5 linked regions of the Macaca mulatta genome follow. The protein of the gene in region 1 interacts with the protein of each later gene in a biochemical or structural test. Links are inferred from orthologs where the notes say so. Each region holds a gene or a part of one and is shown in the gene's direction. Other genes may lie near its edges.

Region 1 (6,432 bases):
GGCGCAGCGTGGCCCGGGATCGCGGTCTCCCCATCCGGAACATCTTCCCTGCTGGGGGACACCTCGGGCCTTCTGTCGTCCGAGGGTAGGGTCTCAAGGTCACTCGCCCCAGCTTGACCTGGCCGGAGTGGCTATAGAAGACTTTGTCCCTGCAAACTGCAGCAGCAGAGATGACACACTCTGAGTGCAGACATGGGGGGGCAGGGAGCTGGGAGAAGGTTCAAGCTACTGGAACAGCTTCAGAACAACTAGGGTACTAGGAACTGCTGTGTCGGGAAGAAGGGGCTCAAGGACTTGCAGGCATGAGAGGAGGGGCCTAGGCCAGACTAGGCTCCTTGTGCAGCCATGGGGGTTGGGTCACCTATGTCTGAGGATGTGGTGCTGTCTGGATTTTGCCAACCTAGGGCTGGTGTCAGCTGACACCCAACACCACCAGCACCACTCCCGAGCCTCCGGGAACTGAAACCCTGTCTACCCCCAGGGTCTAGGGAGGGAGGCTGCTGAGTAGAGCTGACCCCAAGTTACCCACAGAAGCCACCTCAGCCACCCCCTGCCAGCCAAAGCAAACAGGCCCGGCCTGGCACTGGGGGTTCCTTCCCGGGACCAGGAGTCCAGCCTCCCCTGACTCGCAGAATCCTCTGATCCCACCCACTCCAGTTCTCGATGTGTGACTTTGCCATTCATCTCGCTGCTGAACCACGGGTTTCTCCTCTGAAACATCTGGGATTTATAACAGGGCTGTTAGGAAAAAGACAGCATCTGAGCGCTCACTGCGGCCTGTCCATTGCTAGCCCTAACAGGACCACTGTGCCAAGGCTGTCCTCCGTGCTCCATACACGTTAGCTTGTCACCAAACATATCCGTGTCACTGCTTTCCCAGTCTGATGAGCAAAGGAACCCGATGCTCAGAGAGGACAAGTCATTTGCCCAAGGTCACACAGCTGGCAACTGGCAGAGTCAGGATTCAAGCCCTGGCAGTTTGACTCCAGAATCCTAACCTTAACCCAGAAGCACAGCTTCAAGACCCTGGAAACCACAATGCCTGTGGCAGCCAGGGGGAGGTGCTGGAATCTCATTTTACACGTGGGGAGGGGTGGGTCCCCTGTGCTCAAGGTCACAACCAAAGAGGAAGCTATGATTAAAACCCAGGTCCCACTCGCAAAGCCTAGACTTTTAGCAGATGCACCACACTGTTCCCACCCCCCTCCCATCCCACTTCTGTCCAGTCGCCTAGCACCACTTTCTTTTCTTTTTTCTTTTTCTTTTTTTGTTTTTCTTTTTAGAAAGCATCACTCTTGCTCAGGCTGGAGTGCAGTGGCGAGACTTCGGCTCACTGTAACTTCCACCTCCCGGGTTCAAGTGATTCTCCTGCCTCAGCCTCCCAAGTAGCTAGGATTACATGCGCCCGCCACCACGCCTGGCTAATTTTTGTATTTTTAGTAGTGATGGGGTTTCACCATGTTGGCCAGGCCGGTCTCAAACTCCTGACCTTAAGTGTTCCGCCCACCGTGGCCTCCCAAAGTGCTGGGATTACAGGCGTGAGCTACCGCGCCCAGCCCCTCCCATCCCACTTCTGTCCAGCCCCCTATCCCTACTTTCTTTCTGGGATCCAGGAGTCCAGATCCCCAGCCCCCTCTCCAGATTGCATTCATCCAGGCACAGGAAAGGACAGGGTCAGGGAAGGAGGACTCTGGGCGGCAGCCTGCACATTCCCCTTCGACGCTTGGCCCCCAGAATGGAGGAGGGTGTCTGGATTACTGGGCGAGGTGTCCTCACTTCCTGGGGACTGTGGGGGGTGGTCAAAAGGCCTCTATGCCCCACCTCCTCCCTCTGCCCTGCTGTGCCTGGGGCAGGGGGAGAACAGCCCACCTCGTGACTGGGGGCTGGCCCAGCCCGCCCTATCCCTGGAGGAGGGGGCGGGACAGGGGGAGCCCTATAATTGGACAAGTCTGGGATCCTTGAGTCCTACTCAGCCCCAGCGGAGGTGAAGGACGTTCTTCCCCAGGAGCCGGTGAGAAGCGCAGTCGGGGGCACGGGGATGAGCTCAGGGGCCTCTAGAAAGATGTAGCTGGGACCTCGGGAAGCCCTGGCCTCCAGGTAGTCTCAGGAGAGCTACTCGAGGTCGGGCTTGGGGATAGGAGGAGCGGGGGTGAGGCCAGCAGCAGGGGACTGGACCTGGTAAGGGCTGGGCAGCAGAGACGACCCGACCCGCTAGAAGGTGGGGTGGGCAGAGCATGTGGACTAGGAGCTAAGCCACAGCAGGACCCCCACGAGTTGTCACTGTCATTTATCGAGCACCTACTGGGTGTCCCCAGTGTCCTCAGATCTCCATAACAGGGAAGCCAGGGGCAGCGACACGGTAGCTAGCCGTCGATTGGAGAACTTTAAAATGAGGACTGAATTAGCTCATAAATGGAAAACGGCGCTTAAATGTGAGGTTAGAGCTTAGAATGTGAAGGGAGAATGAGGAATGCGAGACTGGGACTGAGATGGAACCGGCGGTGGGGAGGGGGAGGGGGTGTGGAATTTGAACCCCGGGAGAGAAAGATGGAATTTTGACTATGGAGGCCGACCTGGGGATGGGGAAATAAGAGAAGACCAGGAGGGAGTTAAATAGGGAATGGGTTGGGGGCGGCTTGGTAACTGTTTGTGCTAGGATTAGGCTGTTGCAGATAATGGAACTAGGCTTGGAAGGCTAACCTGGGGTGGGGCCGGGTTGGGGTCGGGCTGGGAGTGGGAGGAGTCCTTACTGGCGGTTGATTGACTGTTTCTCCCTCCCCAGACTGGCCAATCACAGGCAGGAAGATGAAGGTTCTGTGGGCTGCGTTGCTGGTCACATTCCTGGCAGGTATGGGGGCGGGGCTTGCTCGGTTTCCCTGCTCCTCCCCCTCTCATCCTCACCTCAACCTCCTGGCCCCATTCAGGCAGACCTCGGGCCCCCTCTTCTTCTGCTGGTCTGTCTTCCCCTTGAGGGGAAAGCCCAGGTCTGAGGCTTCTATGCTGCTTTCTGGCTCAGAACAGCGATTTGACGCTCTGTGAGCCTCGGTTTCCTGCCCCCGCTTTTTTTTTTTTTTTTTTTTTTTTTGAGCCAGAGTCTCACTCTGTCGCCCCGGCTGGAGTGCAGTGGCACAATCTCAGCTCACTGCAAGCTCCGCCTCCCGGGTTCACGCTATTCTCCCGCCTCAGCCTCCCGAGTAGCTGGGACTACAGGCGCCCGCCACCATGCCCGGCTAATTTTTTGTACTTTGAGTAGAGAAGGGGTTTCACTGTATTATCCAGGATGGTCTCTATCTCCTGACCTCGTGATCTGCCCGCCTTGGCCTCCCAAAGTGCTGGAATTACAGGCGTGAGCCACCGCGCCCGGCCTCCCCATCCTTAATATAGGAGTTAGAAGTTTTTGTTTTTGTTTTGTTTTGAGATGAAGTCCCTCTGTCGCCCAGGCTGGAGTGCGGTGGCTCCCAGGCTGCAGTTCAGTGGCAGGATCTCAGCTCACTGCAAGCTCCCCCTCCCAGGTTCATGCCATTCTCCTGCCTCAGCCTCCGGAGTAGCTGGGACTACAGGAACATGCCACCACACCTGACTAACTTTTTTTGTATTTTTAGTAGAGACGGGGTTTCACCATGTTGGCCAGGCTGGTCTGGAACTCCTGACCTCAGGTGATCTGCCTGCTTCAACCTCCCAAAGTGCTGGGATTACAGGCATGGGCCACCGCGCCCAGCTGGGAGTTAAGAGGCTTCTAATGCATTGCATTAGAATACCAGACACGGGACAGCTGTGATCTTTATTCTCCATCACCCCACACAGCCCTGCCTGGGACACACAAGGACACTCAATACATGCTTTTCCGCTAGGCACGGTGGCTCACCCCTGTAATCCCAGCATTTTGGGAGGCCAAGGTGGGAGGATCACTTGAGCCCAGGAGTTCAACACCAGACTCGGCAACATAGTGAGACTCTGTCTCTACTAAAAATACAAAAATTAGCCAGGCCTGGTGCCACACACCTGTGGTCCCAGCTACTCAGGAGGCTGAGGCAGGAGGATTGCTTGAGCCCAGAAGGTCAAGGTTGCAGTGAACCATGTTCAGGCCACTGCAATCCAGCCTGGGTGACAGAGCAAGACCCTGTCTGTAAATAAATAACGCTTTTCAAGTGATTAAACAGACTCCCCCCTCACCCTGCCCACCATGGCTCCAAAGCAGCATTTGTGGAGCACCTTCTGTGTGCCCCTAGGTACTAGGTGCCTGGACGGGGTCAGAAGGAACCTGAACCACCTTCAACTTGTTCCACACAGGATGCCAGGCCAAGGTGGAGCAACCGGTGGAGCCAGAGACGGAACCCGAGCTTCGCCAGCAGGCTGAGGGGCAGAGCGGCCAGCCCTGGGAGCTGGCACTGGGTCGCTTTTGGGATTACCTGCGCTGGGTGCAGACACTGTCTGAGCAGGTGCAGGAGGAGCTGCTCAGCCCCCAGGTCACCCAGGAACTGACGTGAGTGTCCCCATCCCGGCCCTTGACCCTTCTGGTGGGCGGCTATACCTCCCCAGGTCCAGGTTTCATTCTGCCCCTGCCACTAAGTCTTGGGAGTCCTGGGTCTCTGCTGGTTCTAGCTTCCTCTTCCCATTTCTGACTCCTGGCTTTAGCTCTCTGGAATTCTCTCTCTCAGTTCTGTTTCTCCCTCTTCCCTTCTGACTCAGCCTCTCACACTCGTCCTGGCTCTGTCTCTGTCCTTCACTAGCTCTTTTATATAGAGACAGAGAGATGGGGTCTCACTGTGTTGCCCAGGCTGGTCTTGAACTTCTGGGCTCAAGCGATCCTCCCACCTCGCCTCCCAAAGTGCTGGGAATAAAGACATGAGCCACCTTGCCCGGCCTCCTAGCTCTTTCTTCGTCTCTGCCTCTGCTCTCTGCGTCTGTCTTTGTCTCCTCTCTGCCTCTGTCCCGTTCCTTCTCTCTTGGTTCACTGCCCTTCTGTCTCTCCCTGTTCTCCTTAGGAGACTCTCCTCTCTTCCTTCTCGGGTCTCTCTGGCTGATCCCCATCTCACCCACACCTATCCCAGCCCTTCTCGCCTCCCCCTGTGCGCACACCCTCCTGCTCTTTCGGCTGCAGGACGCTGATGGATGAGACCATGAAGGAGTTGAAGGCCTACAAATCGGAACTGGAGGAACAGCTGAGCCCGGTGGCGGAGGAGACGCGGGCACGGCTGTCCAAGGAGCTGCAGGCGGCGCAGGCCCGGCTGGGTGCCGACATGGAGGACGTGCGCAGCCGCCTGGTGCAGTACCGCAGCGAGGTGCAGGCCATGCTGGGCCAGAGTACCGAGGAGCTGCGGGCGCGCCTCGCCTCCCACCTGCGCAAGCTGCGCAAGCGGCTCCTCCGCGATGCTGATGACCTGCAGAAGCGCCTGGCAGTGTATCAGGCCGGGGCCCGCGAGGGCGCCGAGCGCGGGGTCAGCGCCATCCGCGAGCGCCTGGGACCCCTGGTGGAGCAGGGCCGCGTGCGGGCCGCCACTGTGGGCTCCCTGGCCAGCCAGCCGCTTCAGGAGCGGGCCCAGGCCTTGGGTGAGCGGCTTCGCGCACGGATGGAGGAGATGGGCAGCCGGACCCGCGACCGCCTGGACGAGGTGAAGGAGCAGGTGGCGGAGGTGCGCGCCAAGCTGGAGGAACAGGCCCAGCAGATAAGCCTGCAGGCCGAGGCCTTCCAGGCCCGCCTCAAGAGCTGGTTCGAGCCCCTGGTGGAAGATATGCAGCGCCAGTGGGCTGGGCTGGTGGAGAAGGTGCAGGCTGCCGTGGGCGCCAGCACCGCCCCTGTGCCCAGCGACAATCACTGAACGCCCAGGCCTACAGCCATGCGACCCGACTCCACCCCATGCCTCCTCTCTCCGCTCAGCCTGCAGCGGGAGACCCTGTCCCCGCCCCAGCCGTCCTCCAGGGGTGGGCCCTAGTTTAATAAAGATTCGCCAAGTTTCACCGCATCTGCTGGCCTCCCTGTGTGATTTCCTCTAAGCCCCAGCCTCAGTTTCTCTTTCTGCCCGCACACTGGCCACACAGTTCTCAGCCCCCTCCTCTCTGTCTGTGTTTGCGTGTCTGTATCTTTCTCTCTGCCTTTTTTTTTTTTTTTTTTTTTTTTAAGATGGAGTCTGGCTCTGTCACCCAGGCTGGAGTGCAGTGGCGTGATCTTGGCTCACTGCAACCTCTGCCTCTTGGGTTCAAGCGATTCTCCTGCCTCAATAGCTAGGATTACAGGCTCATGCCACCACATCCAGCTAATTTTTGTATTTTTAGTAGAGACAAGCTTTCACCATGTTGGCCAGGCTGGTCTCAAACTCCTGACTAAGTGACCCACCCACCGGCCTCCCAAAGGGCTGAGATTACAGGCCTGAGCCACTGTGCCTGGCCTCTGCCCCTCTTTCTTTTTTTGGGGGGACAAGGTCTCACCCTGTC
Region 2 (5,976 bases), on another chromosome or scaffold:
TGACTTGTTCTGCCCTTGCAGCCTTCCTGCCCACCTCCCAGTCCTGATTTAATTTTGTTTTTTAGCCTAGCACACAAGGCTCTTCAGGATCTGGCCCCAGGTGACCTTCCAGGTGCATCCCCCATCTCCCCACCCCTCGATTCACACTCTACACTCCAGCCACGTGAAGTGTGACTGTATGATCCCTAGGAATAGGGCTGGTATCTTGCTCACCATTCTCCCCAGCTCCTAGCAATGTCTGGCACATGGTAGGAAATCAAGGATTTGTTGAATTAATGAATAGAGCTGCTTACCGTTCCTTTAATAGGTCATACTGTCTTGTTTTCTTTCTGTTTGGTTTTCAACAAGTATTTATTAAGCAGCTACTATGTGCCAAACTCTGTGATAACAGGAGGAAAGGCAGTTAAAGATGAATAAGACATGGTTCTGTCCTATAAAAGTTTATAGTCTTGTTGGAGAGACCCACATAACACAGGTAAGTTTGTTATGACCTGGTGGGTCCTAAGGTTAAGCTGCATGCACTGACTTCAGAGACAGTGCTGAGGATACACTTAGCTTGGGCTGAGGGAGAGGGGAAGAGGGCAGAGGAGGTTTCCTAACGGAAGTGATATTTGAGCTGGGTCAGCCAAGTGAAGGAGGATCAAGAGCAGTCCAAGCAGTGAAGACAGCATGAATAAAGCCAGGAGTAGGAAATGGCCTGGAAGGGTCAGGGTGGGGTGGTTTTAGAGCTAGAAGGAGATGAGTACGGCCAGAATATAACACTTGGTTAAGCCCTCACAGAGAATCAAGGGGGCTGATTCATTCTCTTCCACCCCGAAGTCCACACAGTATCCTGTACACCCCTCTCTTAGCAGTCTCATCTCTTAGCAGTATCTTTGCATTCTGATTGTCCATTCAGAGCTTTATCTCCCTTACTTGGCTATGAGTACTTCAAGGACAGGAACTTTGTCCTTTTATCCTGGGAATCTTCAGTATGGTGAGTTAGTCAGCAAATGTTTTAAAAACTTCTCCCCTGTGTGAGACACTATGCCAAGTGCCAAGGATCCAGGGAAGAAAAAGATAAAGACTTTAAGAGCTTTCAGTGTTTAATCAGGCAAAAATAAAGTCCTTTGAGGTAGATGTTAATACATGTCATAATGTGCTAAAATAGGGGCATTTTGGATGTAGATACAGAGGAACAATGTAACAGTGGCATGATACTCCTGTGAAGGGATGGTTGAAAGAAAGGTAATTCCAGAGTAAAAGTGGCGCTTCTGGAGAAGACGGCATTTGAATTGGCCTTGAAAGGCTTCACCAGGAAAGATGATAGTGAGATGACTATTCCAGGATTATTTTGACTGGAGTGGAGAAAGATAAATGCACCCCTTTCTTGCCATCCTTTGCCCTATAGAAAGAGGCAGATGTATGCTGTTTTGCTGACATAACTCACTCTGAAATAATCAATATTTTTAATTTCTGCTAATCTGAGGAATGAAAGATGAGTATTATTTCCCTGACACGTCCCTGTGAGGTAGAGTATCTTTTCATAAGCTTATCAGTCCCTTTACTTATATTTTATCTGTTATGAACTGCCTACTCACAGTCTTTTCTCATTTTTCTATTGGCTATTTTTTCTTATTTATAGAAATATTTATACATGATGAATATTAAATCTTTAAAATACATGCTACAAATATTTTCTTCCAGTCTGACATTTGGTTTTAAAGTTTGTTTATGGTATCTTTTGCCATGCATAAATATAAAACTTTTAAGTATCAGATCTGTCAATCTTTTAAGATTTCTGGGTTTTGTGTTTCGCTTAAGAAGGCCTGCCTCACTCTAAATTATTAAAATATCTTCTGATGTTTTTCTTTTCTACTTTAAACTTTTTTTAGTACTTAGATATTAACCTATTTGGAATTTAAATTTTAGAATATGGGATGAGGTAGAAATTTACTTGTTTTTTCTCTATATACCTGTCTAGTTTCCCCAAAACCATCATTGAATAATCTATACTTCTCTCCTGACTTGCACTGTCATCTTTATTATAAACTACATCCCATACATACTTTGATTTGTGTCTAAGCAGTTTATCTTCCTCCACCGATTTATATATTCCTACATACTATTAGCAGAACTTCATGATATGTTACACTCACAACATCTTCTCAGTTATTTTTATTCAGTTTCTCTTCTAAGTGAACTTCAGAATAACCTTATCAATTCTATAAAAATTTTGGTGAAATTATCAAGATTGCTTTAGATATATGAGTTTATGTGAGGAGAATATACATTTTTATTATATTAAAGCTTCCCAGCCAGAAATGTGGCATATCTATTTATTTCAGTCTTCTTTTATGTCCTTCAGCAGAACTTTATAGATCACATAGGACTTGCATATTTCTTCTTAGATTTTCCTAGGTATTTTATATTTTATAGCTTTTTGATGGGCTATTATGAATTTATTTTTATTCCATTACATGTTCTTTCTCTTTTTTTTTTTTTTTTTTTTTTTTTTTTTTTTTAAGAGACAAGAAGATCTTGCACTCTTGCCCAGGCTGGAGTGCAATGGTGCAATCACAGTTCACTGCATCCTTGAACTCCTGGGCTCAAGGGATTCTCCCACATCAGCATCCCGAGTAGCTGGGACTAGAGTAGCTGGGACTACAGGCATGCACCACCACACCTGGCTAATTTTTTAAATTATTTTTTTTTGTAAAGACCAGGGCTCACTCACCATCTTGCCCAGGCTGGTCTTGAACTCCTGGGTTCAAGCAATCTTCCTGCCTCAGCCTCCCAAAATGTTGGTATTACATGTGTAAGCCACCATGTCTGGCCTTCGTTACATTTTCCAATTGGTTCTTGCTGATTAAAAAAGAAGGTAATGATCTTTTATGTTGATTCTTGATTAACTAAGATTATTTCTGATAGTTTTTCACCAGGTTCAGAGTTCCTAAAAATATAAATAGCTGTTAATAAGAGTTTGGTTTCCTCCTTTCTCTTATTTATTTATTTATTTATTTATTTATTTATTTTGAGATAAGGTCTCCCTCTGTTGCCCAGGCTGGAGTGCAGTGGCACTACTGTGGCTCACTGCAGTCTCGACCTCCCAGGTTCAAGCAATCCTCCCACCTCAGCCTTCTGAGTAGCTGGGACTACAGGTGCCCACCACCATGCCCAGCTACTTTATATTTTTTGTAGAAATGGGTTTTCACCATGTTGGCCAGGCCTGTCTCGAACTCCTGGCCTCAAGTAATCTGCCTGCCTCAGCCTCCCAAAGTGTTGGGATTACAGGTGTGAGCCACTGTACCTGGCCTCCTTTCCCATATTTATACTCTTAAATGTTTTTCTGGCCTTACTGCATAGCTAGATCTCTAGGACAATAAATATTACCAGTGGTAACTGCCTTGTTTCTGTCTTTAGTGCATATCAATTATTGTAATCTTACTAAAACGGAAACCCCTTCTATACCATCCTAGATAGGTGATCATTCAGCCTCCATTGGGATACTGAGTGACTGCTAACCACCTTACGAGCTACTTGCTCCATTTTTACCCAGCTCTGTTGGACAGAGCTTCCTCCTTTAATCATTAACATATTCATTTATTCTAAATCACAGCTTATGTTGCCCTCTGTGTCTCCTTCTAGAGATGTTCTTCTTCAGGTGGAGCCTCACCTTTGGAAATAAACACTGTACCTGGCCCCATCCCACTCTCCACCCCCCAGTTTTGGGAGAGAATGGTTTTCTTAGAGAAATGTAGGGAAGCAGCAGCATTAGGGCAAAGGTGTGGTAAAATTCACTCATTCATTCAGCACGTTACTAGGCACCTACTCAGTGCTAGGAACTGGGCATAAAGAGTTAAAAAAAAAAAAAAAAAAAAAAAGACACAGTCCCTGCCTTGAAAGAGCTATCTAGTTGGGAGTACAGATACATAAAGTAAGATACTGTGTGTGATCTGGGAGCACACATGAGAGAGCAACTGCCTCTGCCCACAGTTGGGGAAGACTTCACATTTGAGCAGGATCTTTAAGGATGAATAGTTAATAAGGGAAAGAAGGGATGAGAGATGGGCTTTCAAACAGCAGAAAAAGAACATGCAGAAACAGAGCCTGAGGAGCAAGGGGCAGGAAAGGTGGAGTGGTGACAAGCCTTGCACTGATGTCTGAGCAGTGGGCTGGAGCCTGCTGGAGGTCCAATCTCCTGTGTCCTTCCTCCAGTGGTGATAGCCCTGCTGTGCATGAGTGGATACCTGATCTGGAGAAACTGGAAGCGGAAGAACACCAAAAGCATGAATTTTGACAACCCAGTCTACAGGAAAACAACAGAAGAAGAAGATGAAGATGAGCTCCATATAGGGAGGACTGCTCAGATTGGCCATGTCTATCCTGCAGTAAGTATTTCTCACTGGGAGAATTCCTACCTTCTGACCATCTTCCCTTCCATCCTTTCTTCTCCTCCCATCCTTTCTTCCTTCCCATCCTTTCTTCCCTCCCTTCCTTCCTTCTGTCCTTCCCTCCCTCCCTTCCTTCCTTCTGTCCTTCCCTCCCTCCCTGTCTTTTTTCTTTCCTTCTTTCCTTCCTTTCCTCCCTCCTTCCCTTCCTCCTTCCTCCCTTCCTGAAACATTTATCGAGAACGTACCATGTATCAGGCACTGTTCTAGGCCCTGGGGAACACAGAAATGCTGGGGTAGGTGGTTAAGGTAAAAAGGTATCAGGACCACCTTGTACCTAGAGGCTTTTCCTGGCAGTAAAAAAGCCAAATGTCTCTTTCTGCTCAGTAAATTTTCAGAACCTTTGGCCTGGAAGGGTAACTGTGGCCATTTAATTCAAATGTATTCATTTCAATACTGTATGCCAGTTATGTGCCAAGCACATTAGATATCAAGTATTCAAAAGTCAATAAGGAATGTGCTTGCTCCCAAGAAGTTGGTAGGGAGTTAGAGATACTAACATACAGTGGTATAATTGTGTGCTGAGTGCCGTGGTGGAAGCTCAGGAGTCCCCTCTTCTAGAAAGCTATCCTTGGCTTGCTTTGTTCTCCCACAGTCCTCCGGGCCTCTCTGCCTCACAGCCCCTATCACACTGTAGTCCACTTGTCTTTTACTCAGTGGTCTCCTCACTAAACCCTAAGATCCTTGAGGGCAGAACTGTCTGATTAATCTGTTTTCCTGATGTCTAGCACAGTATGGCTGACTCCCAACAAATATTTGTTGAATAGATGCTATGGAAACATCAACAAGGGAGCTATGAATTCTGTCTGGAGAATCAGGCAAGGAATGCCTCACAGAGAAGGTGACAGATGGACTATGTCCTTGAAAGATTAATAGCAGTTTTCCCAGGAGAGAAGGAGGGAAATGGCATTCCAGATAGAGGCATGTGCAAAGGCTTAAAGGCACAACACAGCATGGCTTTTTGGGGGAATGAGGACCATGAAGTGGCACAACAGGTGTCACTGTTATACAGCAGAGTCAGGGGGCTGAGTGTGACCTCAGAGGTCATCCACAGTGCCATCCCCCTGTCAGGCAATCAGCAGCTTTGATCGCCCACTGTGGGCAGAGCCCTGTCTTGGGGAGACCAGAGAACTGGAAGACCCAGCCCCTGCCCTCAAGGAGCTTTTTGTCTTGCCGGGGGAACCAAGGTCACAGCTGCACCAACTCCCGAGGAACCCTCTTTCCGAGCTGCCTGTCGTCAAGTCCAAGGTAGGGCAGTGCCACTCTAAGTCTGAGGGGCTGGTGAGTGAGGGCATGAACCAAGGCAGGCGCAGCCAATCCTAGAAGGCTTTCTGGTTTGGGAAGGCTGCAAATTGTAAGCTGGGTGTTGGAGCAAAGAAGAAAAATGGGTTAGTCACAGACCAATGAATGGCATGTGGAAGAAAGCGATCAAGTTTGGAGCAGAGCAGACAGAATTGCTGCTGAGGCAAATTGTTCATGAAGGGGAGACATGGGAAATGAGATGGAGCAAATGAGGAGGGTTAGCAGACGGCCTTGAGGATCCTTA
Region 3 (5,976 bases), about 46 Mb from region 1:
TGTGATCCGCCTGTCTCAGCCTCCCAAAGTGCTGGGATTACAGGCTTGAGCCACCGCGCCCGGCCGTCTTTTTTTTTCTGTCTTGTGACGGAGTCTCACTCTGCCACCCAGGCTGGAGTGCAGTGGTGGGATCTCGGCTCACTGCAACCTCCGCCTCCTGGGTTCAAGTGATTCTCCCGCCTCAGCCTCCCAAGTAGCTGGGACTACAGGCATCCACCACCACGCCCAGCTAATTTTTGTATTTTTAGTCGAGACGGGGTTTCACCATGTTGACATGTTGACCAGGCTGGTCTTGAATCCCTGACTTCAGGTGATCTACCCGCCTTGGCCTCCCAAAGTGCTAGGATTACAGGCGTGAGCCACTGTGCTCAGCCTCAGTGGGTCTTTGCTTTGAGTGACAGGTCAATCCTGTCTCTTCTATAGTGTCTGTCACCTGCAAATCCGGGGACTTCAGCTGCGGGGGCCGTGTCAACCGCTGCATTCCTCAGTTCTGGAGGTGTGATGGCGAAGTGGACTGTGAGAACGGATCAGATGAGCAAGACTGTCGTAAGTGTGGCCCTGCCTTTACTATTGAGCCCATCTGGGTCCTGGGGAGTGGTCTGACTGTCTCTACAGGGTCCTGCTTAAGCTGCAAGGCAGCTGCCCTGAACTGGGCTCCATCTCTTGGGGGCTCATACCAAGCCTCTTCTGCCCCTCAAATCCCTCCCTGACCAGGAGGCATTACAGACCAGGGATAGTGCCACCTCTTCGGTTTGTCGCGCACAGTCAGGGACACCATCCCTGCCGAGGGCTGGCCACCTGGCACACACACTGGCAAGCCACTGTGATCCCCAGTGGCCGTGATCCCCGCCCCGTGAGGCTGAACACATAGTGACACTTGCTAGCCACGCCTCAATGACCCAGGTAACGTGAAGGGGAAAAAGCTAGAAAGTTCTGCCAAGGAGGAAGGCCAAGAATCCCAAAGGGAAATGGGCTTTGGAGCTGGGCATCTTCTTGGCTGTCTTAATACAAGTGGCATATCCCAAATCCAAAAACCCGAAATTCAAAGTCTTGAGCACCCAAAATTCTGAAACGTCTTGAGCACTGACATTTAGAAGAGAATGCTTATTGGAGCATTTTGGATTTCGAATTTTTACCATTAAATGTGGAGTCCTAATTAGGAAAAAGCCAGGCTGGTCAAACCAAGGGAAAGCAATAAAAGAAGGCAGATAGAGTCGAGTGCAGTGGCTCACGCCTGTAATCCCAACCCTTTGAGAGGCTGAGGCGGGTGAATCACTTGAGGTCAGGAGTTCAAGACCATCTTGGCCAACATGGTGAAACCCCGTCTCTACTAAAAATACAAAAATTAGCCAGGCATGGTGGTGTGTGCCTGTAATCCCAGCTACTCGGGAGGCTGAGACAGGAGAATCACTTGAACCTGGGAGGCAGAGGTTGCAGTAAGCCAAGATCACACCATTGCACTCCAGCCTGGGGGACAAGAGTGAAAATCTATATCAAAAAAAAAAAAAAAGAAGGCTGGGCATGGTGGCTCATGCCTGTAATCCCAGCACTTTGGGAGGCCGAGGTGGGTGGATCAGGAGGTCAGGAGATCAAGACCATCCTGGCTAACACGGTGAAACCCCTTCTCTACTAAAAATACAAAAAATTAGCTGGGTGTGGTGGCGGGTGTCTGTAGTCCCAGCTACTCGGGAGGCTGAGGCAGGAGAATGGTGTGAATCCAGGAGGTGGAGCTTGCAGTGAACCGAGATGGCACCACTGCACTCCAGACTGGGCAACACAGCGAGACACCGTCTCAAAAAAAAAAGAAGGCAGATAAACTATATAAGTCTGCCTTTCTTCATGGTCCAGAACACATAGCTCTCCTGTGTAAATAACTCCCAATCTTCCTGTGCCCAGGTATCAGCAGACACGTTGGCTGATAGAAAATTGCAGGTTAGCGCACTGCAACCTTGGCATCATAGGGACTGCACAACGCCCCCTTCAGCGCACAGCACAAGCACCATTCTATAAAATCTCCAGCCAGCAGCCGGGTGCGGTGGCTCACACCTGTAATCCCAGCACTTTGGGAGGCTGAGGCGGGCTGATCATCTGAGGTCAGGAGTTTGAGACCAGCCTGGCCACAATCATAAAACCCTGTCCCTACTAAAAATACACAAAAATTATCCAGGCATAGTGGCAGGTGCCTGTAGTCCCAGCTACTTGGAAGACTGAGGCAGGAGAATCGCTTGAACCTGGGAGGTGGAGGTTGCGGTGAGCTAAGACCGTGCCATCACACTCCAGCCTGGGGGACAAGAGTGAGACGACTTCTCAAAAAAAAAAAAAAATCCCCAGCAAGCCTTTGTCTCCTGGCAGTCAGCTCCTCCCTTGCTGACCTGCTCATTGCTTTCTTGCAAGGTATTTTCCTACTTTCTCGAATAAATCTGCGTTTCTTTACCTACAGCTGCCTTTTTTTTTTTTTTTCTTCAATTTTTTGAGACCGAGTCTCACTCTGTTGCCCAGGCTGGAGTTCAGTGGTGCAGTCTCGGCTCACTGCACCACTGGTCCCAAGCATTTTAGAGAAGTGATACTCAACCCAAAATAAGGACAGGAATTCTATAAATGGTGCCACCGTCTTGCAGTTCTCAGTTTAACAGCTTTACACCTATTAACGCACCAGTCCTCAGAGCAGTGCTGGGAGATGTGTACAGATGAGGAAACTGAGGCACTGAGAGGGCAGTGGTTCAGAGTCCATGGCCCCTGACTGCTCCCCAGCCCGCCTCTCCAGGCGCCTGGCGTTTCTGTGGCAGCGTCCCCGGCTATAGAATGGGCTAGTGTTGGGAGACTTCACGGTGACGGTGGTCACGGCCCATCCATCCCTGCAGCCCCCAAGACGTGCTCCCAGGACGAGTTTCGCTGCCACGATGGGAAATGCATCTACCGGCAGTTCGTCTGTGACTCAGACCGGGACTGCTTGGACGGCTCGGACGAGGCCTCCTGCCCGGTGCTTACCTGCGGCCCTGCCAGCTTCCAGTGTAACAGCTCCACCTGCATCCCCCAGCTGTGGGCCTGCGACAACGACCCCGACTGCGAAGATGGCTCGGATGAGTGGCCTCAGCACTGTCAGGGTCTTGAAGTGCCCAAAAGGGACAGTAGCCCCTGCTCGGCCTTCGAGTTCCACTGTCGAAGTGGCGAGTGCATCCACTCTGGCTGGCGCTGTGATGGAGGCCCCGACTGCAAGGACAAGTCTGACGAGGAGAATTGCCGTAAGGACAGGGGCGGGGCCTGGGGCGGGAGCGGGGCGTCCTATCACCTGTCCCTGGGCTCCCCCGGGTGTGGGACATGCGATGATTTAGGTGCTGAAGTGGATTTCGAACAACATGCCAAGAAAGTGGTTCCCATTTCATGTTTTTTTCTTTTTTTGAGGTGGAGTCTCACTCTGATTTTTTTCGTCTCTAAATTTCCTGCATCCATGAGGCCCCAGGTGATGGTTCCTGTTGGCTTATTGGGAAGTCACTGTTTGGAAGGTGCTGGTTGTTTTTTGTTGTTTGTTTTTGTTTTGAGACGGAGTTTCGCTCTTGTTGCTCAGGCTGCAGTGCAATGGCGCGATCTCGGCTCACTGCAATCTCTGCTTCCCAGGTATAAGTGTTTCTCCTGTCTCAGCCTCCCAAGTAGTTTGGATTACAGGCATGCACCACCACGTCCAGCTATTTTTTGTTGTATTTAGTAGAGATGGGGTTTCACCATGGTAGTCAGGCTGGTCGCAAACTCTTGACCTCAGATGATCCATCTGCCTTAGCCTCCCAAAGTGCTGGGATTATAGGCGTGCACTGCCGCATCCAGCCTCTTTTTTTTTTTTTTTTTTTTTTTTGAGACGGAGTCTCGCTCTGTTGCCCAGGCTGGAGTGCAGTGGCCGGATCTCGGCTCACTGCAAGCTTCGCCTCCTGGGTTTACGCCATTCTCCTGCCTCAACCTCCCGAGTAGCTGGGACTACAGGCGCCCGCCACCTCGCCTGGCTAGTTTTTTGTATTTTTTAGTAGAGACGGGGTTTCACCGTGTTAGCCAAGATGGTCTCGATCTCCTGACCTCGTGATCCGCCTGTCTCGGCCTCCCAAAGTGCTGGGATTACAGGCTTGAGCCACTGCGCCCAGCCTCTGGTTGTCTCTTCTTGAGAAAATCAACACACTCTGTCCTGTTTTCCAGCTGTGGCCACCTGTCGCCCTGATGAATTCCAGTGCTCTGATGGAACTTGCATCCATGGCAGCCGGCAGTGTGACCGGGAATATGACTGCAAGGACATGAGCGATGAAGTTGGCTGCATTAACGGTGAGCGCTGGCCATCTGCTTTCCCATCCCCCATTCTCCGTGCCTTACTGCTTGCAAATGATTTGTGAAGCCAGAGGGCACTTCCCTGGTCAACTCTGCACCAGCTGTGTGTCTGTGGGCAAGTGACCTGAGTTCCCAGAGCCTCACTTCCTTTGTTTTTAGATGGAGCCTCGCTCTGTCACCCAGGCTGGAGTAGTGTGGCACAATCACAGCTCACGGCAGCCTCTGCCTCTGGGGTTCCAGTGATTCTCCTGCCTCAGCCTCCCGAGTAGCTGAGATTCAAAGCATATGCCACCATGCCAGGCTAATTTTTTGTATTTTTATTAGAGACAGGGTTACACCATGTTGGCCAGGCTGGTCTTGAACTCCTGTCCTCAGGTGATCCACCTGCCTTGGTCTCCCAAAGTGCTGGGATTACAGGTATGAGCCACCACCCCAGGCCTCATTGTTTTGTATTTTTAGTAGAGATGCGGTTTTACCATATTGCCCAGGCTTGTCTCGAACTCCTGGGCTCAAGCGATCTGCCTGCCTCGGCCTCCCAAAGTGCTGGGATTACAGGCGCAAACCTCTGTGCCCGATGCGCTTTCTTTTTTTTTTTTTTTTTTTTTTTTTTTGAGACGGAGTCTCGCTCTGCCGCCCAGGCTGGAGTGCAGTGGCCGGATCTCAGCTCACTGCAGGCTCCGCCTCCCGGGTTCACGCAACTCTCCTGCCTCAGCCTCCCCAGTAGCTGGGACTACAGGCGCCCGCCACCTCGCCCGGCTAGTTTTTTGTATTTTTTAGTAGAGACGGGGTTTCACCGTGTCAGCCAGGATGGTCTCGATCTCCTGACCTCGTGATCCGCCCGCCTCAGCCTCCCAAAGTGCTGGGACTACAGGCTTGAGCCACCGCGCCCGGACCCGATGCGCTTTCTTAATGAGTCCATTTGCATGCGTTCTTATGTGAATAAACTATTATATGAATGAGCGCCAAGCAGACTGCAGGTCAGACACACCTGACCTTCCTCCTTCCTCTCTCTGGCTGTCACAGTGACACTCTGCGAGGGGCCCAACAAGTTCAAGTGTCACAGCGGCGAATGCATCAGCCTGGACAAAGTCTGCAACATGGCTAGAGACTGCCGGGACTGGTCAGATGAACCCATCAAGGAGTGTGGTGAGTCAGGGTGCAGGCGGCTTGCAGAGTTTGTGGGGAGCCAGGAATAGAACTGAGAAATGAGTGCTGTAGGGTTTTGGGAACTCCACGCTGCCCACCCTGTGCAAAGGGCTCCTTTTTTTTATTTTGAGACAGTCTCGCACCGTCTCCCAGGCTAGAGCACAATGGCGTGATCATGGCTCCGTGCAACCTCCACCTACCAGATTCAAGCAATTCTCCTGCCTCAGCCTCCCAAGTAGCTGGGATTACAGGTGAATGCCACCATGCTGTACTGATTTTTGTATTTTTAGTAGAGCTGGGGTATCACCATGTTGGCCGGGCTGGTCTCGAACTCCTGACCTCAAGTGATCCACCCACCTCCTGAAGTGCTGGGATTACAGGCGTGAGCCACCTTGTCCTGGTGAGATTTTGTTTTTTTTTTACCAACCCTCTGTAGTGGATGCTGAAAGACCCTATTAGGATAACCGTACAGTACAGAGAACGCAGTGGGAAGTTTTCTCTGTCATATACCAGAGAGGGCCTGGG
Region 4 (6,547 bases), on another chromosome or scaffold:
ACAAAACCACAGGAATATTTAAAATGATATCTAGTGGAAACAATATGAAGTTGGCCATGGGGTCAAATTAGAGAATCTGAACACTGTGCTCCTTCATTGCTCTTCATATTTCTTCAGAGTAACCTTATTCCCCCATCTCACATTCACCCTCTTTCCAAAATCATACATAATGCTCTCCCAATAGTACTCATTAGGCTTTCTCTACTGTACCCACTGTGAAATTACAGGAGAAGCCTACCGAGATCTCACTACCTCATCTCTCTCATACGTTTACAGAAGGTGAGAGGAAGGTGCAGATAGAGAATAAGAAGCAGGTGGCTCCAGCATCAACATTACATCACCCCTTGAGTTCACAACAAATATGGAATATTATCCAAACACAGTAAAGATTGTATTGTCTTCACTTAAACACATTCAATCAGACCTCTCTTTAATCATTTGTTAGTAGGCAGCGTCTTTATTTTCATGCCATTCTACTCTGCTGTCTTTGCTATAGCACAAGTTTACCACATACCATACCTAAAAATTCAGTTGTTCTATGGAGGTAGACAAAGTCTAGGTTAAGCATATATTTCACAGAATGTTAATCTAGAGCAAAATTAATGAATTAAATCCAGATAAAACAATCGTATTAAGGTGTGGTAAAATATTTATATCTCACTTAGCAAAAAGAAAACCAAACTTGAATATGGTAGTTATGAAGAGAACATGCATGCTAGTAATGCTTCCACGTTCTTATTTCATATTTCTTATGGGGTACAAGCCATTCAGTTAGTTTAACATTATATTCAGAGAGGCTAAAGATTGACTGAAGACAATGCCGTACATCAATAATGAAAACAAAAATAAAAAAATCTTTATTTTAACTTCTAGTTCCCTTCTTTGAACTTGAGCAGCTTTGCCTCCTTAAGAACACAGATCTAGAACATATGCAGTATCACTATCAATATTACTTGTAATTAAAAGCTCATTGGATGTTTACTGTGTTCAAGGCATTTTGAGGAGTGAAAAAAGTTAAACATATAGTTGTAGTTCAAAATGACAATGAAATTAGTTTACAGTTTTCTTTTTTTGTGGGTAGTGAGAAAGCGTCTCCCCCTATTGAGAAATACCAGTATACAAAAGGCAAAACTTTAAATATGAATGAACTGTTTTATAATAACATAAGTTCATCTTGATTTCCATTGTCACATCCAAATTTGAAGGCTATTTCTAACACAGCTGGGTTCTACCCTTTTCATTCTCACCCTTTACCACACCCAATCTGTGAGGCTTCAGACAGAAATCGCTAATTCAGGAGACAATTGTGCCTTCTGTAACAGTTTCTGCTAAATTGTCACAGTTCTGCCACTTAAAAAAGCTAGATGATCTCAGCCTATCACCAAAGCTCTTGGAGCTCAGGTTCTCTGTCTGTAAAAGCTACATAAAATGTAATTTATCTGCTTGTTATGACTAAATAACATAGTACATTAGTCCTTTGCGAAAGTACTAACAAATTACCATATAAAAGTGTAGAATCATGTCAAATGTTATAAGAAATGCAACTGTCCAAAAATAATTATCTCACATTGGTCTGGTAATGAGACCTAAAATATCGCATTTTATTTACCTATTTGACTCAAAGCACCAGGTCTCAAAGAGGTCACTGTTATACTATAAATATGTCATATGAAATAATATATTAAATAATTGTTGTAATAGCCTATTGAAGTACTAGTTGTAATAAGACACAATGGAAAACTTACACTATTAACAATAATAAAAAGAAACAACAAAAAGCAATAAAAAACAAACCACCGATTCATGCAATGACATGAATCACCTCACAAATACTATGCTGAGTAAAAGAAGTCAGACAGATATAAAAAAGTTTATACTACGTGATTAGACTTTTATGACATTCTAGAATATGCACATGAAGGGTGCAAGGTAACTGTCTGGAGTGATGAAAATGTCCTGTGTCTTCAAAATAGTGTGGGTTACACCAATGCATGGTTTTTTCAAAACTGATTTAAAGGGACACAACATCTGAGCATTTCACTAGGTGTAAATTACACTGAAATTTAAAAGAATCGTCTAATGACATTGTGGTTATTTTTAAACAGTTCTTAAATTTTGTGGATGCATACTGAATGTTTACAGTTGAAAAGATGTATATAAAGCTTGAATTTTGTGAAAAAAAATAGGGAGGATTGGTAGTGATAAAGTGAGTGGACTTATGAATGAGACATGATATGCCATGCATAGAAAAAATGTAAAAGTTGGGTGATATTCACATGGGAGTCCTTTATTCTTTCTACTTTTGCGTATGTTTGAATATTTCCCATAACAAAAAGTTGAATATAGGGCGATCACCTGAGTTCATCTCCTCATTTACAAAAAATAAAACTGGAAACAGAAGGAGAACATAACTTGTTCAAGGTCTCCAAGCCAGACAACAAACTAGCTCCCAAGTCCAACCTTCTTGCTCTGGTCCTAAGCAAACACAAACTATTAATATGAGCTACTGCGTTATGGAAAGTCTGTTTTTCCAAAGGGCAGACCAATAGTTCAAGGAAGAGTTTAAGTAATAAAAATTTGTAATCTTACTTTCATGTTTTTCTATTTTCCACTGAACACATAGGCATTATCTTCTATATGTCTTTCATGTATAATCATTTGTTTACTATTCCTTGTGGTTTTAAAGTTGTTTTGTATGTTTACATTTGATTTTACTCAAATTTCAGAATCCAAATGAGTGCAAGAATCAGACAAAGCATTAGCTACAAACATAAAAACAATTTTTAAAAAACACAGCAAAAACGAGCTGTTGTCCCCGCCCCCCCCGCCGGCCCCCACCAGTGCTTAACTAATCTTCGGAATCCAGGCACAGAAAGCAAAGGCTTTCTGCTAGTGGGAGGAGCTTGCTTCTCCATTCTGGTGTGATCCAGGAATAGCTGTCTTCCAGTTCTGAAAGAGGTGAAAATGTGTTAAGCGATGCAAAAATTGTCTTGAGGTTCGCGTGTGTACGTCTGTGTGTCTGTGCATGTGGTGGGTCGGGGGAGAGAAAAGGGGATGTCAATTCTGAGGGCAACGAGAATTAGAAGTCAGAAAGGTGAGTGGCGTGTAGCATCTCCCTTTCAGAAGGGGCTGAAAAAGAAATTGGATATGATGGTCTGGTAGGGTAAATCACGCTGGATTTGTCTACCAGACCATGCACTTAGGTCTGCAAAGTAAGTCCCATTTCTAGAGCGAAAAGCCTTAGGACCGCTTGTTTTAGACGGCTGGGGAATATTTATTCCTCGTTCCGCTGATGGGAAAATCAGCGTCTGGCAGGCGCTGATTGGTGGAAAGGAAAATGGTGATAGTGGGGTGGGAAGAGGATTTGCTGAGCCTCCTCCTGCCTCCTCAACCTGTAACTCTTCCTTAGTAGTCTCCGATTCACCCGCGGGACCCTTTCGAGCTCGACCTGGATTAAGAGCAAACGAAAATCTTGAGGATATTTGAACTAAAGCGACCCTTAACGTAGCCTGTGACCGTGATTAAATGTCAGCGATGCGAGGGCAAAGTGCTCTCGGCGGTGCGGTGTGAGCCACCTCCCTGCGCTGCCTGTCTCCCCAAAGGATAGGCTCTGCTCTGGGTGGTCGACCCTCAGGCCCTCAGCTCTCCCAGGTCGACTCTGACGAGGGGTAGGGGGTGGTCCCAGGGAGGACCCGGAGGAAAGGCGGGGACAGGAAGGGAGGGGAATGGGAAAGAGGGAGAGTCGTCAGCCCAAGCCCAACCGCTCCCAATCGCCACAAGAGTGCCCGTGACCCTGAACTTGAGGTGAGGCGCAAAAGCGCCCCCACTTTCCCGCCTTGCGCGGCCAGGCAGGCGGCTGGAATTGGTGGTTCACCCTGCGCCCCCTGCCCCATCCCCATCCGAGATAGGGAACGAAGAGCACGCTGCAGGGAAAGCAGCGAGCGCTGGGAGGGGAGCGTGGAGAGGCGCTGACAAATCAGCGGTGGGGGCGGAGAGCCGAGGAGAAGGAGAAGGAGGAGGACGAGGAGGAGGAGGACGGCGACGACCAGAAGGGGCCCGAGAGAGGGGGCGAGCGACCGAGCGCCGCGACGCGGGAGTGAGGTGCGTGCGGGCTGCAGCGCAGACCCCGGCCCGGCCCCTCCGAGAGCGTCCTGAGCGCTCCCTCACGCCTTCCCTTCAAACCTTCTGCCTTTTTCTCCATCCTCGTGAGCGGAGAACTGGGAGTGGCCATTCGACGACAGGTTAGCGGGTTTGCCTCCCACGCCCCCAGCCTCCCGTCGTCGGCTCACAGCGGCCTCCTCTGGGGACCGTCCCCCTCCCGGTGCCGCCTCCGCCCTTCCTGTGCGCTCCTTTTCCTCCTTCTTCCCTATTAAATATTATTTGGGAATTGTTTAATTTTTTTTTTTTTTAAAGAGAGGTAGGGAGGAATCGGAGTTGTGGAGAAGCAGAGGGACACAGGTAAGTACCTGTGGATCTAAACGGGCGTCTTTGGAAATCCTGGAGAAAGCCGGGTGGGAGAGGAATGGTCGTGGGCACCAGGAGGGGGTGGTGCTGCGGTGAGGACCTGCTGTGCCAGGTCTCTGGGAGGTGAGTACTTGTCCCTTTGGGGAGCCTAAGGAAAGAGACTTGACCTGGCTTTCGTCCTGTCAAGGGCTTCTCCCCAAGGGCTGAGAGATTAGGATGCGTCTCCGGGATCCGCTTTTCCCCGGGAAACGCGAGGATGCTCCCTGGAGCGTAAGCATCCAACTTTTATTTCTCTCTTACCTGAAATCCGTCTGCCCGCTCTCTTGGTTTTTCTCTGTAAAGTAAGCAAGCTGCCTTTGGCAAATAATGAAATGGAAGTGCAGGGAGGCCAAGTCAACAGGTGGTAAAGGGTTAACAAGTGCTGGCGCGGGGTCCGCTAGGGTGGATGCTGAGAACGCCCCCTCGGGTGGCTGGCGCAGGGTTAGAGACGGCCCGCGAGTGTGAGCGCCGCCTGCTCAGGGTAGATATCTGAGGGCGGGGGTGGATGCTCGGATGTATTAGAACCAGCACCCTTGGGCTCGCTGTTTGCCTGAGGTTGAACCACACCCAGAGTGAGTAGTTAGTTCTCTTGCCTACGCCTCTCCACCATCAACCTGTTAGCCTTCTTCTGGGATTCATGTTAAGGATGCCCCAGACCCTAAGCCTCCAGCTTCCATGCTTCTAACTCACACTGTTACCCTTTAGACCCCGGGAAGTTAAAACAGGAGTGACTCTTTTCATGCAACTCCACTTCTGAAATGCAGTATTAACAACTCAGAGGATTCATCCTAATCCATGGTTAGGTGGCTAGACTTTTACTAGCCAAGATGGATGGGAGATGCTAAATTTTTAATGCCAGAGCTAAAAATGTCTGCTTTGTCCAATGGTTAAATGAGTGTACACTTAAAAGAGTCTCACACTTTGGAGGGTTTCTCATGATTTTTCAGTGTTTTTTGTTTATTTTCCCCCAAAAGTTCTCATTCAAAGTGTATTTTATGTTCTCCAGTGTGGTGTAAAGGAATTCATTAGCCATGGATGTATTCATGAAAGGACTTTCAAAGGCCAAGGAGGGAGTTGTGGCTGCTGCTGAGAAAACCAAACAGGGTGTGGCAGAAGCAGCAGGAAAGACAAAAGAGGGTGTTCTCTATGTAGGTAGGTAAACCCCAAATGTCACTTTGGTGTTGGTTCATGACTGATGGGTTAGGATAATCAATACTCTAAATGCTGGTAGTTCTCTCTCTTGATTCATTTTTGCATCATTGCTTGTCAAAAGGGTGGACTGAGTCAGAGGTATATGTAGGTAGGTGAATGTGAATGTGTGTATTTGAGCTAATAGTAAAAAATGCGGCTGTTTCCTTTTCGATATTTTTAATTTTGCCCTAATATTTAGGACTTTTGAAAAATGAATGCTTCTGTGCCTACATAATTACATTTCAGAGAACAGTTTTAAAAATACATTGTCTTTTTAAAAAATCAAGAATATTCTTAAGAATCAAAATCATTGCTGGGTCTGTGATTTCTTTTACCATCATGAATAATGTTTGTCAATTTTAACCCATTCTGATTTTTAAAATATGACTTTGATATGCCCCTGTGCTGTGTATAAAGAGACCTATTTGTGGCCCTAAAATGGAAACAACAGATTAGTCTTTGGTAGAGTTACTTCATGTGATCATTTGGTCTCTCTGAACACTGAGGACAGAGAAAAGTGCTTGAGGGCTGCTACTGACCTCTCAGAAACATTGATACAGTTCATCCATCAAATGACAAACATACTGAAAGAATAAAGAAATTGATGCTTATTACCTACTTGTTCCTAAAGTTCCACCTTGGGGTATACACCCAAGCTCTGACTCTCTTTTCTGTATCTTGAATTGTGTTCAATTGCATGTTATTTTACAAACCACTTTGAATTCTTTGGAAAAGAATAGACACACACGCTCTCATCCACAGGCATAGACACAGACACACACACACACTCAACATAGACACATTGCCCATTCTTCCTCTCTTCTTTCTCCTCTGAGCTTTTTCACATTCTCTG
Region 5 (5,976 bases), on another chromosome or scaffold:
GCCTGGGGCAGACCTCACCTCCAGACAGGCCCTGAGGCTGGCGAGGGCACTGGTCCATAGTAGCTGGCCGAGAGCTCTCAGGTTGTGCCATGCAGGACACAGGGATACTTTTCAGTGCCTGGGTCACTATCCAAAGTGAGAAAACAGCGGGGGACCAGGAGGCTGCCCGCCTCAAGGGATGTGGGGGCCGGGCCCAGTTATCTGAGGAAGCAGTCAGCTTCTCTGCTGTTTCCACCACCCAGGCCGCCCCTGGTCTAAGGCAGGGCCTCCCAGCCTTGGGGCGCTTTAAAGATACCTGGGCCTGGCCCCGTCCCCACAGTCTGACTGAGTGGGTCGGGATAGGGGCATGGGCATTGGCGATTTCCTGGGTGAAGGGAGGCCCGCTGCAGTCTCTGGAAGCTTCTCTGTGTTAGGAAGAGCTCTGGGCTTGACTCTGCTCGGAGAGTCAAGATCCGCAAATCCTCTCAGCCTCAGTTTCTCCTTCAGCAAGATGAAATGGAAATGCTGTACCTACGTCCCAGGGTGGTTGTGAGACCCCCCCCCCCCAAAAAAAACAATGTTCTGGAAGGTTCCTGGTGCGTTGCAGTCCTCTAAGAACCTGAGTTAGAGCCATGCTGAGTCTCAGCTTCTTGGCTCCTTCTGTTTCCAACTTGTCCATGTGATGGCTCAGGAAGGTGGGCAGGGCCCTGCCCCTACTCAGAAAACATCATCCTGGTCCCAGGGATCCCCGCAGCGTTAGTCCCGTTTTCCGTGTGTTGAGAAAAATTGCTAACAAGCAGTGGGGCACACCACCAGCCTCCTGGGTTCCTTTCAGTTTGGGGATTTTTGGACATTCCCAGGAATGTCAACTTTCTCTTAAAAAACACTTCAAAAAACATTAACATAAATATTTTTATCAAAGCTTGTATTAAATGGTCTTTCAAGAAAATACAGTAACAGGCCAGGCATGGTGGCTCACGCCTGTAACCCCAGCACTTTGGGAGGCCAAGGCAGGCAGATCACCTGAAATCAGGAGTTCGACACCAGCCCGGCCAATGCAGCAGAACCCCGTCTCTACAAAAAATACAAAAATTAGCTGGGTGTGGTGGCACACACCTGTAGTCCCAGCTGCTCGGGAGGCCGAGGCAGAATTGCTTGATCCCGGGAGGTGGAGGTTGCAGTGAGCTGAGATTGCGCCACTGCACTCCAGCCTGGGTGACAAGAGTGAAACTTTGTCTAAAAAAAAAAAAAAAAGAAAAAGAAAAAGAAAATACACTAATAGAGAACAATCTGTTTTTCAAAGTAGTGACTGCAAATGAACAAAATATGCATCTAGCTTAAACGGGAGCATGGTTTTCTCTATGCCCATTCAAGCCTGCTGCAATAGGGGCCCTTCAGCCTGGATCCATGGACTCCTAAAATTATATGGAAAATGGCTGTGTGGGTGTGAGCGTGGGTGGACATGTGCACACATATTTTTGGCTTTACCAGATGCTCAAAGAGCCTAGGACCCAACAAGGGCTGAGGATAACCCTGTCGGCCGCTTCAGGGTCATCAGGAATTCCTGTGCGCTGCTCACTTCTCCAGTGAGCGCCTTCTGCGTCCGCGTTTCCTGGTATCCTTCGGGGCTCCTGGCTAGGTCATGTGTTTCTCTACTTTCTTTTTTTTTCTTTTTTTTTTTTTTGAGACGGAGTCTCGCTCTGCCACCCAGGCTGGAGTGCAGTGGCTGGATCTCAGCTCACTGCAAGCTCCGCCTCCCGGGTTCACGCCATTCTCCTGCCTCAGCCTCCCGAGTAGCTGGGACTACAGGCGCCCGCCACCTCGCCCGGCTAGTTTTTTGTATTTTTTTTTAGTAGAGACGGGGTTTCACCGTGTTAGCCAGGATGGTCTTGATCTCCTGACCTCGTGATCCGCCCATCTCGGCCTCCCAAAGTGCTGGGATTACAGGCTTGAGCCACCGCGCCCGGCCTGTTTCTCTACTTTCAAAAGGGCTTCAGCCAGGCACGGTGGCATGAGCCTGTAGTCCCAGCTGCCCGGGAGGTTCAGGTGGGAAGATTGCTTGAGCCCAGGAATTTGAGGCCAGCCTGGGCAAGTAGATAGATAGGTAGATGATAGATAGATAGGTAGATAGATAGATAGATAGATAGATAGATAGATAGATAGATGGATGTATAATAGATGGATAGATAAGTCGCTAGACAGACTCCATCCTAAATCACCCATCCACCCACCCACACATAAAAAGGCCTTTGTCATGTCATGTTTTGTGGCCCACCTGCCAGTGCTGCCCACAGTTGCTGCCCCTCCAAACTCATCAGTCACTGGCAAACAGGAGGAATGTGTGTGGCTCATGTCTGGGCATCAGTGGCTGTGGGAGACATCCTTGATCTTCTCCAGCTTCTCCTTCCACATTTTCCTTTGCAATCTGGCAATATCTATCAAAATAAAATGCGCATGCCTTTTGACCTAAGAGCTCCACTTCTAGGACACACTTACAGGTATGTGACATGATGTTCATTCAGGGTTATTTATCTGAGGTTGTTCATACACACCATTGCCTGTAATCACTAAAGGCGGGAGCAGCCTAGGCATCCATTCACAGAGGAGTAGACGCCTTTGGATACATCCGTGGTGACGGAATACTAAGCAGCCTGTGTACATATACACTCACACATGTGTTTGTTTATGTGTGGAATATCTCTGCAGGATACACAAGAAACTTAAAATGATCACTGTCTCTGGGGAGGGTACCTGGGTGCCTGGGAGGCAGGTCAGGGGAGGAGTGGGCACAGGGATTACGAATTGGAAGACAATAAAAACAACAGCTTCTGGCCAGGCACAGTGGCTCACGCCTGTAATGGCAGCACTCTGAGAGGCCGAGGCGGGCAGATTGCTTCCGCCCAAGAGTTCGAGACCAGCCTGGGCAACATAGTGAAACCCCGTTTCTATTAAAAATACAAAAAACTAGCCAGGTGTGGTGGAATGCACCTGTAATCCCAGCTACCCGGGAGGCTGAGGTGGGAGAATCACCTGAGCCTGGGAGGTTGAGGCTGCAGTGAGGTGAGATTGCACCACCTCACTCTAGCCTGGGTGATAGAGCAAGACCCTGTCTCAAAAACAAATAAACAACAGTCCCTGGCACTGTGGGCCAGGCCTGGCAGGGCAGTTGGCAGGGCTGGTCTCTCTTTCTCTGGCACTTCATCTCACCCTCCCTCCCTTCCTCTTCTCCTTGCAGATTGAAACCCACAAGCTGACCTTCCGCGAGAACGCCAAAGCCAAGACAGACCACGGGGCGGAAATCGTGTACAAGTCGCCGGTGGTGTCTGGGGACACGTCTCCACGGCACCTCAGCAATGTCTCCTCCACCGGCAGCATCGACATGGTAGACTCGCCCCAGCTCGCCACGCTAGCCGACGAGGTGTCTGCCTCCCTGGCCAAGCAGGGTTTGTGATCAGGCCCCCGGGGCGGTCAATAATCGTGGAGAGAAGAGAGAGTGAGAGTGTGGAAAAAAAAAGAATAATGACCCGGCCCCGCCCTCTGCCCCCAGCTGCTCCTCGCAGTTCGGTTAATCGGTTCATCACTTAACCGGCTTTTATCGCTCGGCTTTGGCTCGGGACTTCAAAATCAGTGATGGGAATAAGAGCAAATTGCATCTTTCCAAATTGATCGGTGGGCTAATAATAAAATATTTTTTAAAAAACATTCAAAAACATGGCCACACCCAACATTTCCTCGGGCAATTCCTTTTGATTCTTTTTTTTTCCCCCTCCATGTAGAAGAGGGAGAAGGAGAGGCTGTGAAAGCTGCTTCGGGGGGATTTCAAGAGACTGGGGGTGCCCACCGCCTCTGGCCCTGTCGTGGGGGTGTCACAGAGGCAGCGGCAGCAACAAAGGATTTGAAACTTGGTGTGTTCGTGGAGCCACAGGCAGACGATGTCAACCTTGTGTGAGTGTGACGGGTGGGGGTGGGGCGGGAGGCCATGGGGGAGGCCAAGGCAGGGGCTGGGCAGAGGGGAGAGGAAGGACGAGAAGGGGGAGTGGGAGAGGAAGCCACATGCTGGAGAGGAGATGCCCTCCTCCGCGCCACTGGGAGGGCCAAGGCCTCCGCCACCTGCAGTGTCTCAGACTGAGCGGCTGCCTGTCCTTGGTGGCCAGGGTCTGCTGCGAGTTGATGTGCCACCCTCTGCAGGGCAGCCTGTGGGAGAAGGGGCGGCGGGTAAGAAGAGAAGGCAAGCTGGCGGGAGGGTGGCACCCCGTGGATGACCTCCTTGGAAAAGACTGACCTTGATGTCGGAGGGCGCTGGCCTCTTCCTCCCTCCCTGCAGGGTAGGGGGCCTGAGCAGAGGGGCTTCCCTCTGCTCCACAGAAACCCTGTTTTATTGAGTTCTGAAGGTTGGAACTGCAGCCATGATTTTGGCCACTTTGCAGACCTGGGACTTTAGGGCTAACCAGTTCTCTTTGTAAAGACTTGTGCCTCTTGGGAGACGTCCACCCGTTTCCAAGCCTGGGCCACCGGCATCTCTGGAGTGTGCAGGGGTCTGGGAGGTGGGTCCCGAGCCCCCTGTCCTTCCCACGGCCACTGCAGTCACCCCTGTCTGCCCCACTGTGCTGTCGTCTGCCATGAGAACCCAGTCACTGCCTATACCCCTCATCACGCCACAATGTCCAAATTCCCAGCCTCACCACCCCCCTTCTCAGTAAGGACCCTGGTTGGCTGTGGGAGGCACCTACTCCATACTGAGGGTGAAATTAAGGGAAGGTAAAGTCCAGGCACAAGAGTGGGACCCCAGCCTCTCACTCTCAGTTCCACTCATCCAACTGGGTCCCTCACCACGAATCTCACGACCTGATTCGGTTCCCTGCCTCCTCCTCCCATCACAGATGTGAGCCAGGGCACTGCTCAGCTGTGACCCTCGGTGTTTCTGCCTTGTTGACATAGAGAGAGCCCTTTCCCCCCGAGAAGGCCTGGCCTCTTCCTGTGCTGAGCCCGCAGCAGGAGGCTGGGTGTCCTGGTTGTCGGTGACGGCACCAGGATGGGCGGGCAAGGCACCCAGGGCAGGCCCACAGTCCCGCTGTCCCCCACTTGCACCCCAGCTTGTGGCTGCCAGCCTCCCAGACAGCCCAGCCCGCTGCTCAGCTCCACATGTGTAGAATCAGCCCTCCACATCCCAAAAAGGGGAACACACCCCCTTCGAAATGGTTTTCTCCCCGGTCCCAGCTGGAAGCCATGCTGTCTGTTCTGCTGGAGCAGCTGAACATATACATAGATGTTGCCCTGCCCTCCCCATCTGCACCCTGTTGCGTTGTAGTTGGATTTGTCTGTTTATGCTTGGATTCACCAGAGTGACTATGATAGTGAAAAGAAAAAAAAAAAAAAAAAAAAGGACGCATGTATCTTGAAATGCTTGTAAAGAGGTTTCTAACCCACCCTCACAAGGTGTCTCTCACCCCCACGCTGGGACGCGTGTGGCCTGTGTGGCGCCGCCCTGCTGGGGCCTCCCAAGGTTTGAAAGGCTTTCCTCAGCATCCGGGACCCAACAGAGACCAGATTCTAGCATCTAAGGAGGCCGTTCAGCTGTGAAGAAGGCCTGAAGCACAGGATTAGGACTGAAGCGATGACATCTCCTTCCCTACTTCCCCTTGGGGCTCCCTGTGTCAGGGCAGAGAGTAGGTCTTGTGGCTGGTCTGGCTTGCGGCACGAGGATGGTTCTCTCTGGTCACAGCCCGAAGTCCCACAGCAGTCCTAAAGGAGGCTTACAACTCCTGCATCACAAGAAGAAGGAAGCCAGTGCCAGCTGGGGGGATCTGCAGCTCCCAGAAGCTCCATGAGCCTCAGCCACCCCGCAGACTGGGTTCCTCACCAAGCTCGCCCTCTGGAGGGGCAGCCAGCCTCCCACCAAGGGCCCTGCGACCACAGCAGGGATTGGGATGAATTGCCTATCCTGGATCTGCTCCAGAGGCCCGAGCCACCTGCCTGAGGAAGGATAAGTCAGGAGAC

The links.
Region 2: the proteins of APOE (region 1) and LRP8 form a complex in vitro, tested with the Homo sapiens proteins (2 studies listed by BioGRID). The link is inferred for Macaca mulatta from reciprocal best matches to the Homo sapiens genes APOE and LRP8.
Region 3: the proteins of APOE (region 1) and LDLR interact in a biophysical measurement, tested with the Homo sapiens proteins (2 studies listed by IntAct). The link is inferred for Macaca mulatta from reciprocal best matches to the Homo sapiens genes APOE and LDLR.
Region 4: the proteins of APOE (region 1) and SNCA form a complex in vitro, tested with the Homo sapiens proteins (2 studies listed by BioGRID and IntAct). The link is inferred for Macaca mulatta from reciprocal best matches to the Homo sapiens genes APOE and SNCA.
Region 5: the proteins of APOE (region 1) and MAPT form a complex in vitro, tested with the Homo sapiens proteins (2 studies listed by BioGRID, with this or other methods). The link is inferred for Macaca mulatta from reciprocal best matches to the Homo sapiens genes APOE and MAPT.

The regions. Positions count from the first base shown.
Region 1 is NC_133424.1:57,410,169-57,416,600, forward strand, and holds APOE (apolipoprotein E), read left to right. Parts: upstream 1-1,965; 5' UTR 1,966-2,218; intron 2,219-2,782; 5' UTR 2,783-2,805; coding exon 2,806-2,848; intron 2,849-4,290; coding exon 4,291-4,483; intron 4,484-5,101; coding exon 5,102-5,819; 3' UTR 5,820-5,963; downstream 5,964-6,432. UniProt on the Homo sapiens protein: APOE is an apolipoprotein, a protein associating with lipid particles, that mainly functions in lipoprotein-mediated lipid transport between organs via the plasma and interstitial fluids.
Region 2 is NC_133406.1:187,353,639-187,359,614, forward strand, and holds part of LRP8 (low-density lipoprotein receptor-related protein 8), read left to right. Parts: intron 1-4,197; coding exon 4,198-4,370; intron 4,371-5,501; coding exon 5,502-5,678; intron 5,679-5,976. UniProt on the Homo sapiens protein: Cell surface receptor for Reelin (RELN) and apolipoprotein E (apoE)-containing ligands. LRP8 participates in transmitting the extracellular Reelin signal to intracellular signaling processes, by binding to DAB1 on its cytoplasmic tail.
Region 3 is NC_133424.1:11,836,997-11,842,972, forward strand, and holds part of LDLR (low-density lipoprotein receptor), read left to right. Parts: intron 1-423; coding exon 424-546; intron 547-2,861; coding exon 2,862-3,242; intron 3,243-4,179; coding exon 4,180-4,302; intron 4,303-5,328; coding exon 5,329-5,451; intron 5,452-5,976.
Region 4 is NC_133410.1:99,153,711-99,160,257, reverse strand, and holds the start of SNCA (alpha-synuclein), read left to right. Parts: upstream 1-2,905; 5' UTR 2,906-3,094; intron 3,095-3,738; exon of another isoform or gene 3,739-3,804; intron 3,805-4,037; exon of another isoform or gene 4,038-4,241; intron 4,242-4,413; exon of another isoform or gene 4,414-4,458; intron 4,459-4,941; exon of another isoform or gene 4,942-5,075; intron 5,076-5,509; 5' UTR 5,510-5,534; coding exon 5,535-5,655; intron 5,656-6,547. UniProt on the Homo sapiens protein: Neuronal protein that plays several roles in synaptic activity such as regulation of synaptic vesicle trafficking and subsequent neurotransmitter release.
Region 5 is NC_133421.1:70,921,951-70,927,926, forward strand, and holds part of MAPT (microtubule-associated protein tau), read left to right. Parts: intron 1-3,214; coding exon 3,215-3,430; 3' UTR 3,431-4,370; coding exon of another isoform or gene 4,371-4,442; 3' UTR 4,443-5,976. UniProt on the Homo sapiens protein: Promotes microtubule assembly and stability, and might be involved in the establishment and maintenance of neuronal polarity.